3 linked regions of the Oryctolagus cuniculus genome follow. The protein of the gene in region 1 interacts with the protein of each later gene in a biochemical or structural test. Links are inferred from orthologs where the notes say so. Each region holds a gene or a part of one and is shown on either strand. Other genes may lie near its edges.

The links.
Region 2: of the proteins of ATM (region 1) and CREB1, one has a biochemical effect on the other in vitro, tested with the Homo sapiens proteins (2 studies listed by BioGRID). The link is inferred for Oryctolagus cuniculus from reciprocal best matches to the Homo sapiens genes ATM and CREB1.
Region 3: the proteins of ATM (region 1) and RPA1 form a complex in vitro, tested with the Homo sapiens proteins (3 studies listed by BioGRID, with this or other methods). The link is inferred for Oryctolagus cuniculus from reciprocal best matches to the Homo sapiens genes ATM and RPA1.

The regions. Positions count from the first base shown.
Region 1 is NC_091432.1:99,975,678-99,979,426, reverse strand, and holds the start of ATM (serine-protein kinase ATM), read right to left. Parts: upstream 2,353-3,749; 5' UTR 1,621-2,352; intron 1-1,620. Other genes in the region: protein NPAT, read left to right, coding at 2,705-2,741.
Region 2 is NC_091434.1:32,233,785-32,237,433, reverse strand, and holds part of CREB1 (cyclic AMP-responsive element-binding protein 1), read left to right. Parts: intron 1-626; coding exon 627-773; intron 774-1,498; coding exon 1,499-1,540; intron 1,541-3,649.
Region 3 is NC_091448.1:47,343,031-47,346,779, forward strand, and holds the start of RPA1 (replication protein A 70 kDa DNA-binding subunit), read left to right. Parts: upstream 1-1,135; 5' UTR 1,136-1,287; coding exon 1,288-1,320; intron 1,321-3,749. UniProt on the Homo sapiens protein: As part of the heterotrimeric replication protein A complex (RPA/RP-A), binds and stabilizes single-stranded DNA intermediates that form during DNA replication or upon DNA stress.

The sequences.
Region 1 (3,749 bases):
GACCATCTGGGGAGTGAACCAGCAGATAGAAGACCTCTCTCTCTCTCTGTAACTCTTTCAAATTAAAAAAAAAAAAAAAAAAAAAAAAAAAACCTGAAGAATACGAAGAATACTCTGAAATAAAAGGGTTTTGGGAGCAATTACAGAAACTAGCCAGAAAAAAGGAGTGGTCTAGAAGCTCCTGTAACCACCAGCAGAGAGCTGTCTGAAAGGTTTTTTTGCTGGATCTAAAAAACCAAAATATTTTATACTCAAAGTTTGGGAAAAAGAAAGTATAAACTGTTTATAATGAGCCTATATAGAGAAGAGTGGCAGTACAACTAAAAGGCAGGAAGGCAGTCTCTAAGTATTTAGCTATTCCTAATCAGTTGGGATTGCCTTGATGGCCTTGGAGTTAAAATTTCAACATGCATTCAGGACATCGAGCAGTTTTTTTTTGTTTTGATTGGCCAAAACTGGTAGCTGACTAACTTCTCTCTCCTCTCCACTCTCTAGCTGTGTAATTAAATTTAGGACATCTTAGAATACTTGCTTTCATCTTTGCCTCAAAGAAAGCAATACTTAAACAATAATAGAAAGAAACTAATACTTAAACAATAATAGAAAAAACCAGTAGAGAGGACCATTTTAGATAAATTATAAGGAAACATCTCAAAGGAAGGTATAAAAAGAAAGTCAAGATCTGAATAAACCAGTGCCAATCATATAAAGAGCTGAAGAACTGACATTTGAGGGAAGTAATCTTGCACAACGCCAGGGCACTAAGATGGAAAAGAGTATGTTAGGTTGGAGGAGGTGGAGACGAGCCAGTCAGAGTAAAAGTATCACCAGATAAAGACAAACCCCACTTATACATTAATCCAGACTACCTACGATTCATTCATATTCCACAGAAACAACACAAATTTCCTAAATAACAGGCTCTGCACCGGCGCATTCAATATTCGTTGTTATTAACCAGCTTAATCCCTTTGCAGAACGTTGACAATGATGCCCATTCCATCCTCCTAGAAATAACTTTGTCCTTGGCATGCAATTCTTGGCTCTGTAGTCAATGTGTATTAATCCAGCCAGAGCAAGTTAGCTCATGTGTCCAAACCTTAATGATAAAAACAATACTAGCATCTACCCCAAAAACTTGTTGTAAGCATGCAGGTGCATGTTTAGCAAAGCACCTGGAACACAGCCAGTCACCACGTTAACAGTTATCAGAATGAATTCCCTTCCTTTATGATTGCTCCATAAGTCTCTTTCGATATTTCTTCCCTTCCCACTTCAAGCAGCATCCTTATCTCCTTGGTCTCATTCATTCCTGTGACCTAAACATACTGAAAACTCCCCGAACCTATTTCTTTCAATACTAGATCTCACCCCTGATCTTCAAGAACCTTCTACCATGTGCCTTTTACAGGTAAGTTTCTTTCTGTTTGGAAAGTTCCTACTATCCCCTAAGGCAGTTTAGATACTGCAAGGGCTCCCGGCAAACTAAAGTGTTTCTTCCAGGCCGAGTTTCCACAGGACCTGTAACTGCTCTTCTAGAACATTATCCACCTTGCAGTGTAGTTAATTATCTGCACCTGGGAAAACAGCTCTGCAGGGCTCACCACAGGGAAGGATTACCTCACGTAATTTTCCAAGGAAGATGTCAAACAGCTGGCAGAATTCGAACTCGGTACTGTGATTCCAGAACCTACATTCTTAACCACGAGGCTATAGTTAAAATCTCACTAAATGCTCGCTAACTAAAAGTACCAATTATGACACGAGGTTAAAAAAAAAAAAAAAAGGTAACTACTCCAATCGCCTAGTTGAATCTGAACCCTAAGGGCACGGGAGAAGCAGACGCGGAGAAAGGAGAACTCAATTCAGAAGACTTAAAAGGAAGTTCAAGGATAACGCCGCAGGGGGCTCGGAGGGAGTGCGGTGAGTAGCCGCAGCAGCAGCGAGAATAACGAGGGAGAGAGCGCTCACGGGCCGCTCTGAAAGAGCGCGTGGGATTAGGAGTCGGGGGAAAAGGACAGACTGGGTCCAATACGACTCAGTTCTGTAAATACACAAGTCACTGCGTGGCTCCGCACCCCTACCGCTAGACTCTGACGGCCCAGGCAGTGCCGGCGGCGGCTTGCAGCACGGATCCCCCAGCTCCTCTCGCCACCTCCGGTTGCCACAGCTTCCACACTCCGTTATCCCCGCAGCTTTCCCCGCTTCCGGTTCAAACGCCGCGTGAACTCGCAGCGTCCTCTCGGAAGAAAGCGCTAACAGGCCACAGAGCACACTCTGCTCATGCGCACAAGTATCACGCGCTTTCCGTCGCCCAACACTGCGCACCCCCAAAACATTCTGCTCGTCTGCGGAAACGCGCCTGCGCGCTGCCCACCAATGGCTAGCGACTCTGTGTCAGTCGCCCGCCCTCTGGCTGCTGCTCCGGCGCTCGCACCCCGCCCCTTCACGCTCTCCGGCCCCACCCCTCCAACTCTGAGGGCGGAAGTGACGGCAGTTCCAAGGAGAACGGAGGCGGGTTTCATTTCGGCGCCTTTCTTTCTCTGGCGGAAGCCATTGGCTGCCGTGGAGCGAAAGAGGCGGGACAAATTGCCGCGGGTTCAGTGCCGCCACTGGAACCGGGAGATGCGGCGTAGGAGCTGTCGCTGTGTTTCTCTGTACCTGCGTCTCGTCTCTTATTGTGGTTCGTTCTGCGGCGTCGATCATGCTGTTACCCTCGGACGTTGCCCGGCTAGTATTGGGTAAGCGCGGACGCTGGCGGGAGGGTTACTGGGCCAGGCAGAGAAGGAGGGAAGGCGCTTCGGAGCTAAAGCCTTTCTCTTGGTGGGGCAGCCTTGGGGTTTTGCTTCCCCGCTTGCAAGTTCGGACTGGCTGTGATTTTCCGTCGCTCGCTGGCCCTGGTCGCGTACGCCTCGTTGTGTGTGGATGCTCTCCTGCTCGGGCTGTTTGTCTAGGGGAGAGCCGGAGAGAAGCTCGGAGGGCAACACCTGAGGCCCGGATTCGGAGGGAAAGTCAGGCCTGCACACTTCACTGGGACCCCTGAAAGAGAGTTGTCTACGTGACGGGGCGGACTTCGTCGTCTTCAACCTTGCGCGTACTTTCCCTTGTCAGAGCTGAGACCAAAATAGGACAAATAAGGACTTCCCGGCCACCCAGCTTTGTAGAAAGACCTTCGTGACGTCTTTCTCATAACCCTTAGAACTCCGGATTTGGGACGAGTGGGGGTGGTCCTCCTCCTCCATCCTCCCGGCAGGACGTCCTCCCGTGTAGAGGGTTGAAATGCCAATTGCAAATTTGAAAGCAGCTGCAATTCCTATTGCTTTGATGAGCGAACAGTTACGGAAGGGAAGTGCCTTCCAGCTGAACGTTTTCTCGCCCTAGTTAGCTTTTCCTCCATTTGTGCCACTTGTCTGTCAGGGTGTATTGTCTGTGTGGGAGACGGTTTTTTTGTTATTGTTTGTCCCTTCAAAGAATAAAGAAGATTGTACTGCTAGCAACGAGAGCCACTTAAGCTCAAAAACGGGGCCAATGATTTAGATACCTGACATCTCTAAAAGTAAATGGTATACATCTGTGATCATCGTCCCGTACTGTCCACAACCAGTACTACCATTATTTTATTGTTTGGAAACCTCATTTGTCTTCTTTAAAAGTACTCCACCCTGTGGCCTAAAAATGGTGTTTGTGTAGGGCTCTTGATAAGAATATTTTGCAGGAAACATTAGGCGGAAATGGTTCCACCATCCACT
Region 2 (3,649 bases), on another chromosome or scaffold:
GAGGAATAGAGATTTACAGTTTATAAAACTTGTTACTATGTTCTCACTAATGAAAGCTATGCCATATTGTAAGATGTATATTTGTTCTGGACTTACTTTACATTAATTTGTCCAAGCTTGAAAACAATTAGAATTTAGAACATAGCTATTTAACACATATACCACAGACTGTTTCTTCAAGGCTAGTGTATCTGCTTGACTTTGGGTACATTACTTAATCTCTTTGAGCAGTTATTTTTTGTCTTTAAAATGGGGATAATCCTTATTACCCAGTCTTCAATTTCTTTGATGAACAACAAGAGAAATGGGGATATTAAAGCAGTTGGGAAAATCTAAAGCACTATACAAATAAACCGGTGCTTAGTATTAAGAGGAAATCTGTGTTACATGTTTTGACATTACATTATATTACATTACATTACATTACAATAACTTTTTTGTCATTTGGGAGGAGTTGAAAAGTAGAATGGGAGACTTACAGGTTTTGTTTTTAAACAATGATAAATTGCATGTTTAGTTTATTTCCTATCAGTATTTTTGCCTCTAAAATGTTACTTCATATTGAACATGAGTAGTCCCAAGGAGGTATCTGTGATAGTAATTTTTTTCCATGTTCAACATTATAGGTATCTATGCCAGCAGCTCATGCAACATCATCTGCTCCCACTGTAACATTAGTACAACTGCCCAATGGGCAGACAGTTCAAGTCCATGGAGTTATTCAGGCGGCCCAGCCATCAGTTATTCAGTCTCCACAAGTCCAAACAGTTCAGGTATGTGTATAAAAAGTTCTGTATCCACTTTTGTGTCTATTATTCATAGGCATATCCCTCTCCTTTCATTACTTTTGAAAATAAGGACACATCTAGTTTGGAGTTAATTTTACTTCATATGGTAAACAAATGGGCTGCGTCTGTATAGTCACCTTGTGTAAAGGAATGGATATGTATAAAACAGACATGAAAGAAAATTAAGTCATAGAAGGAGAATAATTGGCAAAAAAAGTACATGAGATGAAGTGGAAGATTTGGGAGACTGTATAAGGCTGATTGCCTCAGGGAAAATTGAAATACAGAAGTAATAACTTGTAATTATTTTCTGAACCTGCAGTTGGAGAAAAATAAACCTTGATCAAAATTTAATAACCTTACCTGAGATTTTTGAACTTGAAGGGATCACATAAGCATTCATAAAATGGGCTGTGTTTAGGGTTTACCATGAGAGCATATAATTTTGAAATAATGTGTTCAGAAAGTTTATCTTAAGGGTCAGGGATTATACTATGAATGTCTTATTCTTTGAGGATATTGTTCCTTTGGGTTGGATTCCAAAGATTAGTAAAGGCACTGTAGACCACTGAAGGTGACTGCACTACTTAACTGTAGGGAACCAAGAAGCGGTGTAGATCTTGCGATTGAGCTTATTGAAAGAAAGACTTGAACATTCATTCAAGTAGGCCATAACCCCAGCCTCCCATTTCATATTTTTTACTTCACAGTCTTCCTGTAAGGACTTAAAAAGACTTTTCTCCGGAACACAGGTGAGTCCTAGGTCGTAGATTTGAAGAGAACTATTATTAGAAAGGAAGGTGAGAAATTATTATTTTTGTTTTTTTCCTCCTCTATAAATAATGGAATTTGAAGGTTTTGTTTAATGGTAGACATTTCTAGGTCTAGACCAAACTTGTTGCCTACCTGACCCTTAGAAATAAAAATTTCTGTATATAATATTTTTCCTGTCTTCCAAACGATAGCCCAACTTTACTTGAATACTCTCAGAGAAAGGAAGTTCTATATCCTGAGTAACCTACCTATAATTAAGGATGAAATTGCCAAAATACTCTTTTCAGTCGTGAAAGAATATAGCTTTATACAACTTGCCTAGTGCTTGCAGTTTTATCCTTGCGTTGAACTGAATGGCAAATCTTAATTCTTTTTCTGTTGACTGATTTCCTCAGTCACATCTCTCAGAAACTATATTTTTAAGAAATTGCCAGGGGTGGTCATCTGGCACAACAGGTAAAGCTGCCCCTTGGGACACTTGCATCCATTTTGGAGTGCCTGGTATCAAGTCCTGGCTGCTCCACTTCCAGTCCAGCATCCTGCTAAAGCACACTGTGAGAGACAGCTTGAGTACTTGAGTCCCTGCCTCCCATGAGAGACCCAGATGGAAATTGCAAGCTTCTGGCTTCAGCCTGTCCCAAGGCTGGCTATTGCAGGCATTTGCTGAACCAGCAAATAGATCTCTCTGTCTCTCCTTCTCTGTCTCCCTCGTTCTTGCTCTCTCTTTACTTTCAATAAACTTTTTTTAAAAAGAAAACTTCAACTTAACAAACTCATATTTTTCTTCAGCCATTTATTACATGGTGTAGTTTTGATTTCTCTTCAGCATCCTGGTTGTTTTCTTCTGGATGAGAGCAGTTTTGTTTTCTGTGCATATGGTAGCCAGAACTGATTAATATTCATAGAGGGGCAGGAGTGCCTACTTTGTCCTGGAAGCATCCTGTTAATATCATCAAAAACATACTAGGTTTTGGCCGGCGCCGCGGCTCACTAGGCTAATCCTCCGCCTAGCGGCGCCGGCACACCGGGTTCTAGTCCCAGTTAGGGCGCCGGATTCTGTCCCGGTTGCCCCTCTTCCAGGCCAGCTCTCTGCTGTGGCCAGGGAGTGCAGTGGAGGATGGTCCAAGTGCTTGGGCCCTGCACCCCATGGGAGACCAGGAAAAAGCTCCTGGCTCCTGGCTCCTGCCATCGGCTCAGCGCGGTGCGCCAGCCGCAGCGCGCTGGCCGCGGTGGCCATTGGAGGGTGAACCAACGGCAAAAGGAAGACCTTTCTCTCTGTCTCTCTCTCACTGTCCACTCTGCCTGTCAAAAAAAAAAAAAAAATACTAGGTTTTGTCAATCATTTTATACTATTGAATCATTGAGCAGCTGTTACCACCTATATTTCATTCTGTTCTTATGCTTTTGGTTTGCTTAAGTGGGAAAAAGAAATAATGTTTTCATGTGAAATCTTGAATCATGTATGAATTTCCATAAGATATTGGGGTTGGAATTTTTTAACAAGTAGGATACAGTGTTGACCAAGTGAAGAACTATGAAGTTGATATTTCTGTGGAATCACAGTGACTGAGCAGTATTTCTTTTTCTCAGTTTTTATTTCATTGAATGCTACCTTATCTAATTCTCCATATTGTGCTATGCTAATTCCCCACCCATATCCTCCTATAGATAATAATGGAAAGAATTAGGCTTACTAGTCAGGCAACCTACACGCCAGACCCAGTCTAAGATTGTAATTTTTGGTTATATTATGTGATATTTAACTGTTGATTGTATTCTTTATTTTAATCTTTATAGGGGCAGCCTAATGTGGACCTAGGGATTATATAATCATTAACTTTCTAGAAATATGGATTCATCTTTACAACAATACATATTTCCATTAAAGTGAACTATTTAATTTAAAGTGTGTGTGCTTGCAAAAGAAAAGTTGGGCTTCTTAAAGCCTGGATTTTACAGATATACTATTTTTTTAAGATTTATTTATTTGAAAGGCAGAATGACAGAGGGAGAGGCAGAGACTAAGAGAGAAGGAGAGATCTTCTATCCACTGGGTCATTCCTGAAATGGCTGCAACCAAGGCAAAT
Region 3 (3,749 bases), on another chromosome or scaffold:
TGGAGGATGGCCCAAGTGCTTGGGCCCTGCACCCCATGGGAGACCAGGATAAGTACCTGGTTCCTGCCTTCGGATCAGCGCAGTGCGCCGGCCGCAGCGTGCCAGCCGTGGCGGCCATTGGAGGGTGAACCAACGGCAAAAGGAAGACCTTTCTCTCTGTCTCTCTACTCTGCCTGTCAAAAAAAAAAAAAAAAAAAAAAGAAAGAAAGAAAGAAAGAAAAGAAAACAAGTCTGATGACTGCAGAGAGCTGCCCTCAGGCCCCTCTGAGACCTTCGCCATCCAGGTGGGACTCCTGAGAGACACCCAGGTTCTCCCCTCTCACTGACCCTTGCGACTACAACCGTCTCTCTCTAGGTCCAGTTTTCTGTTTCAGTCCGCAGCTCCCTGCAGTCCAAGACCTCACCAACCCTGGCGTGGCATTCTTTCCAGAGCGTCAGAGCGTCAGAGTGGCTCCACACCTTCAGGCCATCCTGCACCGGGACAGGTGACAGTCCTCTGACTTGAATTCACGAATGCTCCTGAATGCTAGCACACAGGGAAGTCCACGGCTTTCTAACTCAAACCCCGCTTCTTCCTCTATCTACTCTGCTATCCCAGCATGCCAGGCGATTCCACCTCCGCAGGGTTTTGGCACAGGCACAGGCACAGGCACAGGCACTCTTATCTGGAGTCCACCTAGCAACTTCCTACAAAACCTTCTCCTCGATTCAAACGGCACCTTCTTTGGGAAGCCTCCCCGATCTCCTGAGTTGGGCAAGTCCTCTTCTGTGACTTGCGGGAACTGAATCTTATTTACCTTCAGAGGGCCCCTGGATGCCACGGTTCAGGGCTTAAGGAATCCAGTCGCTGCCTTGAGCCTATTTAGCCGTAATTATAAGGGGGGGGGGGGCAGCTCTGGTTCGGCTCTGGCTTGCCAGGCTGACCGCGCGCCAAACTCCCGGTCGGGCGTTCTCGCAGGTGCCCAGGCCGAGCTCGCGTAGCTGGGTCGTCGGCACGCTCCGCCGCACGCGCGCGACACCCGGCGCGCCCCGCGTCGCGGCGCTCCGCCCCCAGGCCCCGCCAGCCCGCCACTAGGCCTCGAACCCGGCCTCCGCCAGGTCACGTGCGCCGTCTCGGCCAATGCGCAGTCTGCTCGGGCCCTAAGCCCCTCCCTAGGCCGCGCGCACGTCGTGGGCGGGAGTGGCGCGCGCAATTCCTCTGGCCAATTGCCGTGCAGCCCGCGGGACCCCGGTAGTGAAGGCAGGGCTGCTGCGAACCCCGAGCGCGGCAGTTGGCGCGGCGGAGCCATGGTCGGCCACCTGAGTGAGGGGGCCATTGCGGTGAGGAGAGGCTGGGAGCGGTCGTGGGCGCGCAGCCGTGCGGAGCGGGGACGGAGGAGGGGAGCCAGGGCGGTGGGCGGGACAACGCAGGAGAAGCAGATGGCGGGGGAGCCGCGGGGGTTTACCCCGCGCTGATCGGCGCCCTCTTGTCGCGGGAGCCTTCCAGTGTTCGTTACACACGCTCAACGTTTTTCTGCCAAGAAAACAGACGTGTACTTTGTTCGCATCTCCCTCGCCGGCCGCCCTTCCCCCATCCCCCCAAACTTCTCGAGAGTCGTCTGTTTCCAGTTACTCTGTGTCCTCGCCTCGCGGCACCTGCCGTGGGTCAGCCTGGTCCCCGCGGCGCTGGGGCCTGTTGATCACCTCTGCCTTTGGCCTCTGGCTCAGCTTGCCTAGTCTTGCTTTTGATCCCCTGGCTCCTCCCCCTCCACCCCTGGCAACTTCATTACCATCCAGAAGTCAGTTAACAGGTTTCTCCGTGCCAAGCCCCCTTTACTCGAAAAGACTTCTGTACTCATCCGTCTACCTAGTGTATCAAAGGCATCTTAAATGCCATCTGCCCGGAGCAGATCCTTTATCTTCCCAAGTCTGGGTCTCCGGATGTTACCCAGCCAGAAACAGTTCACACGTCCAGTCCAGCACCAAGTGGAGCGTATTTTACCTTAGCATAGATCCTTTATTTATTTTTGGTTAAGATTTATTGACTTATTTGAAAGGCAGAGTTACAGAGAGACAGAGGCAAAGAGAGAGATCCTGCATCCTCTTGTTCACTCCCCAAGTGGCCGCCGTGGCTGGAACTGGGCCGATTCGAAGCCAGGAGCCAGGACCTTCTTCCAGGTCTCCCGCGTGGGTGCAGGGGCCCAAGCACTTGGGCCACTTTCTATGATTTCCCAGGCCATAACAGAGCTGGATCGGAAGTGGAGCAGCTGGGATTCGAACCTCCACCCCTGTGGGATGCTGGCACTGCAGGCAGAGGCTTAGCCCATTGTGCTACAGCACCAACCCTGTTTGTTTCTTTTTAAATATTTCTTGTATGTGAAAGGCAGAGTTGGAGAAGGAAAAGGAGAGAGAGCTCTTCCATCTGCTCCTTCACTTTCCAACATCCTGGAGCCAGGAGCCTGGAACTCTGTGCGGATTTCCCGTGTGGGTGGCCGGGGCCCAGCACCTGGGCCATCCGTTGCCGCTTTCTCGAGCGCATTAGCAGGGAGCTGGATTGGAAGAGGAGCAGCCAGGGCTTGAATCAATGCTCATCTGGATGTCAGCTAGAGGCTTAACCCCACTGTGCCACAACCCGGGCTCCCCACGTAGATCTTTTAAATCCATCCACTTCTTCCCATCTATACTGGCACCTTCATTTCTTGGCTTGACTACCCTCTTCCCACTATTCTTTTACTCTCTTCTATAGCCTTAAAAAAAAAAACCTTTAAATTCCTGATACATTGCATACTCTTGCCTTACGCGGGGCTCTTTTTTTTTTAAAGATTTATTTATTTGAAAGTCAGAGTTACACAGAGAGACAGAGAGGTCTTCAGTCCGATGGTTCACTCCCCAGATGGCCGCAAAGGTTGGAGCTGCGCCCATCCGAAGCCAGGATCCAGGAGCTTCTTCCAGGTCTCCCACGTGGGTGCAGGGGCTCAAGGACTTTGGCCATCTTCTACTGCTTTCCCAGGCCATAGCAAAGAGCTGGATTGGAAGAGGAGCAGCCGAGACTAGAACCAGCGCCCATATGGGATGCTGGCGCTTCAGGCCCACTGCATCACAGCGCCGGACCCTTACGTGGGGCTTTTGAACATTCTTTTCCTTCTGCCTGGGTTCTTCACTCCTCCCTCATGGGCTAACATAATTTTCAAATCTTAAGCTCAGTAGTTACTTTTGGGGGAAGTCTTCTTTGACTTCACTTACTAGGCTAAATTATTTTATTTTGGGACTGTAATTCCTGTGTGTTCCCTTGTTAGATCTGTGACTTTGGGCAGAACACTGGACTGTTTTCCTTCTGTAATATCAGGGTGATGATGCCTAGTACCTTTTGCATAAAGTAAGAAAGTGTGTTAATACATTTAAGTGTTTAGCTCATTGCCTGTTACATAGTAAATGCTCAGTATATGTTACCTGGGATTAATAGTCACACGTGTAATTTTACATTGATTGCTTATTGATTAATTGCTTATTGATTAATGTCAGTTACGGTCTGTCTCCTCCAGTAGGTTGTAAATTCCATGGGGCCTGCAGTCATGCTGGGTTGTTTTTGGTTCCCACAGTGTCCCCAGTACCTGGAGCAGAGCTGACGAGTTGTAGGTGCCTGGCAAATGTTTGCTAGCTGCGTGAATGATTAAGACAGCGGAAAGAAGGATAGAGCTGGATGGGGAAGAAAGGCAGGAAGGGACAGACAGCTGTCAGAGTTGAGTGAGTTTTGTAGTAAGTTAGGGATG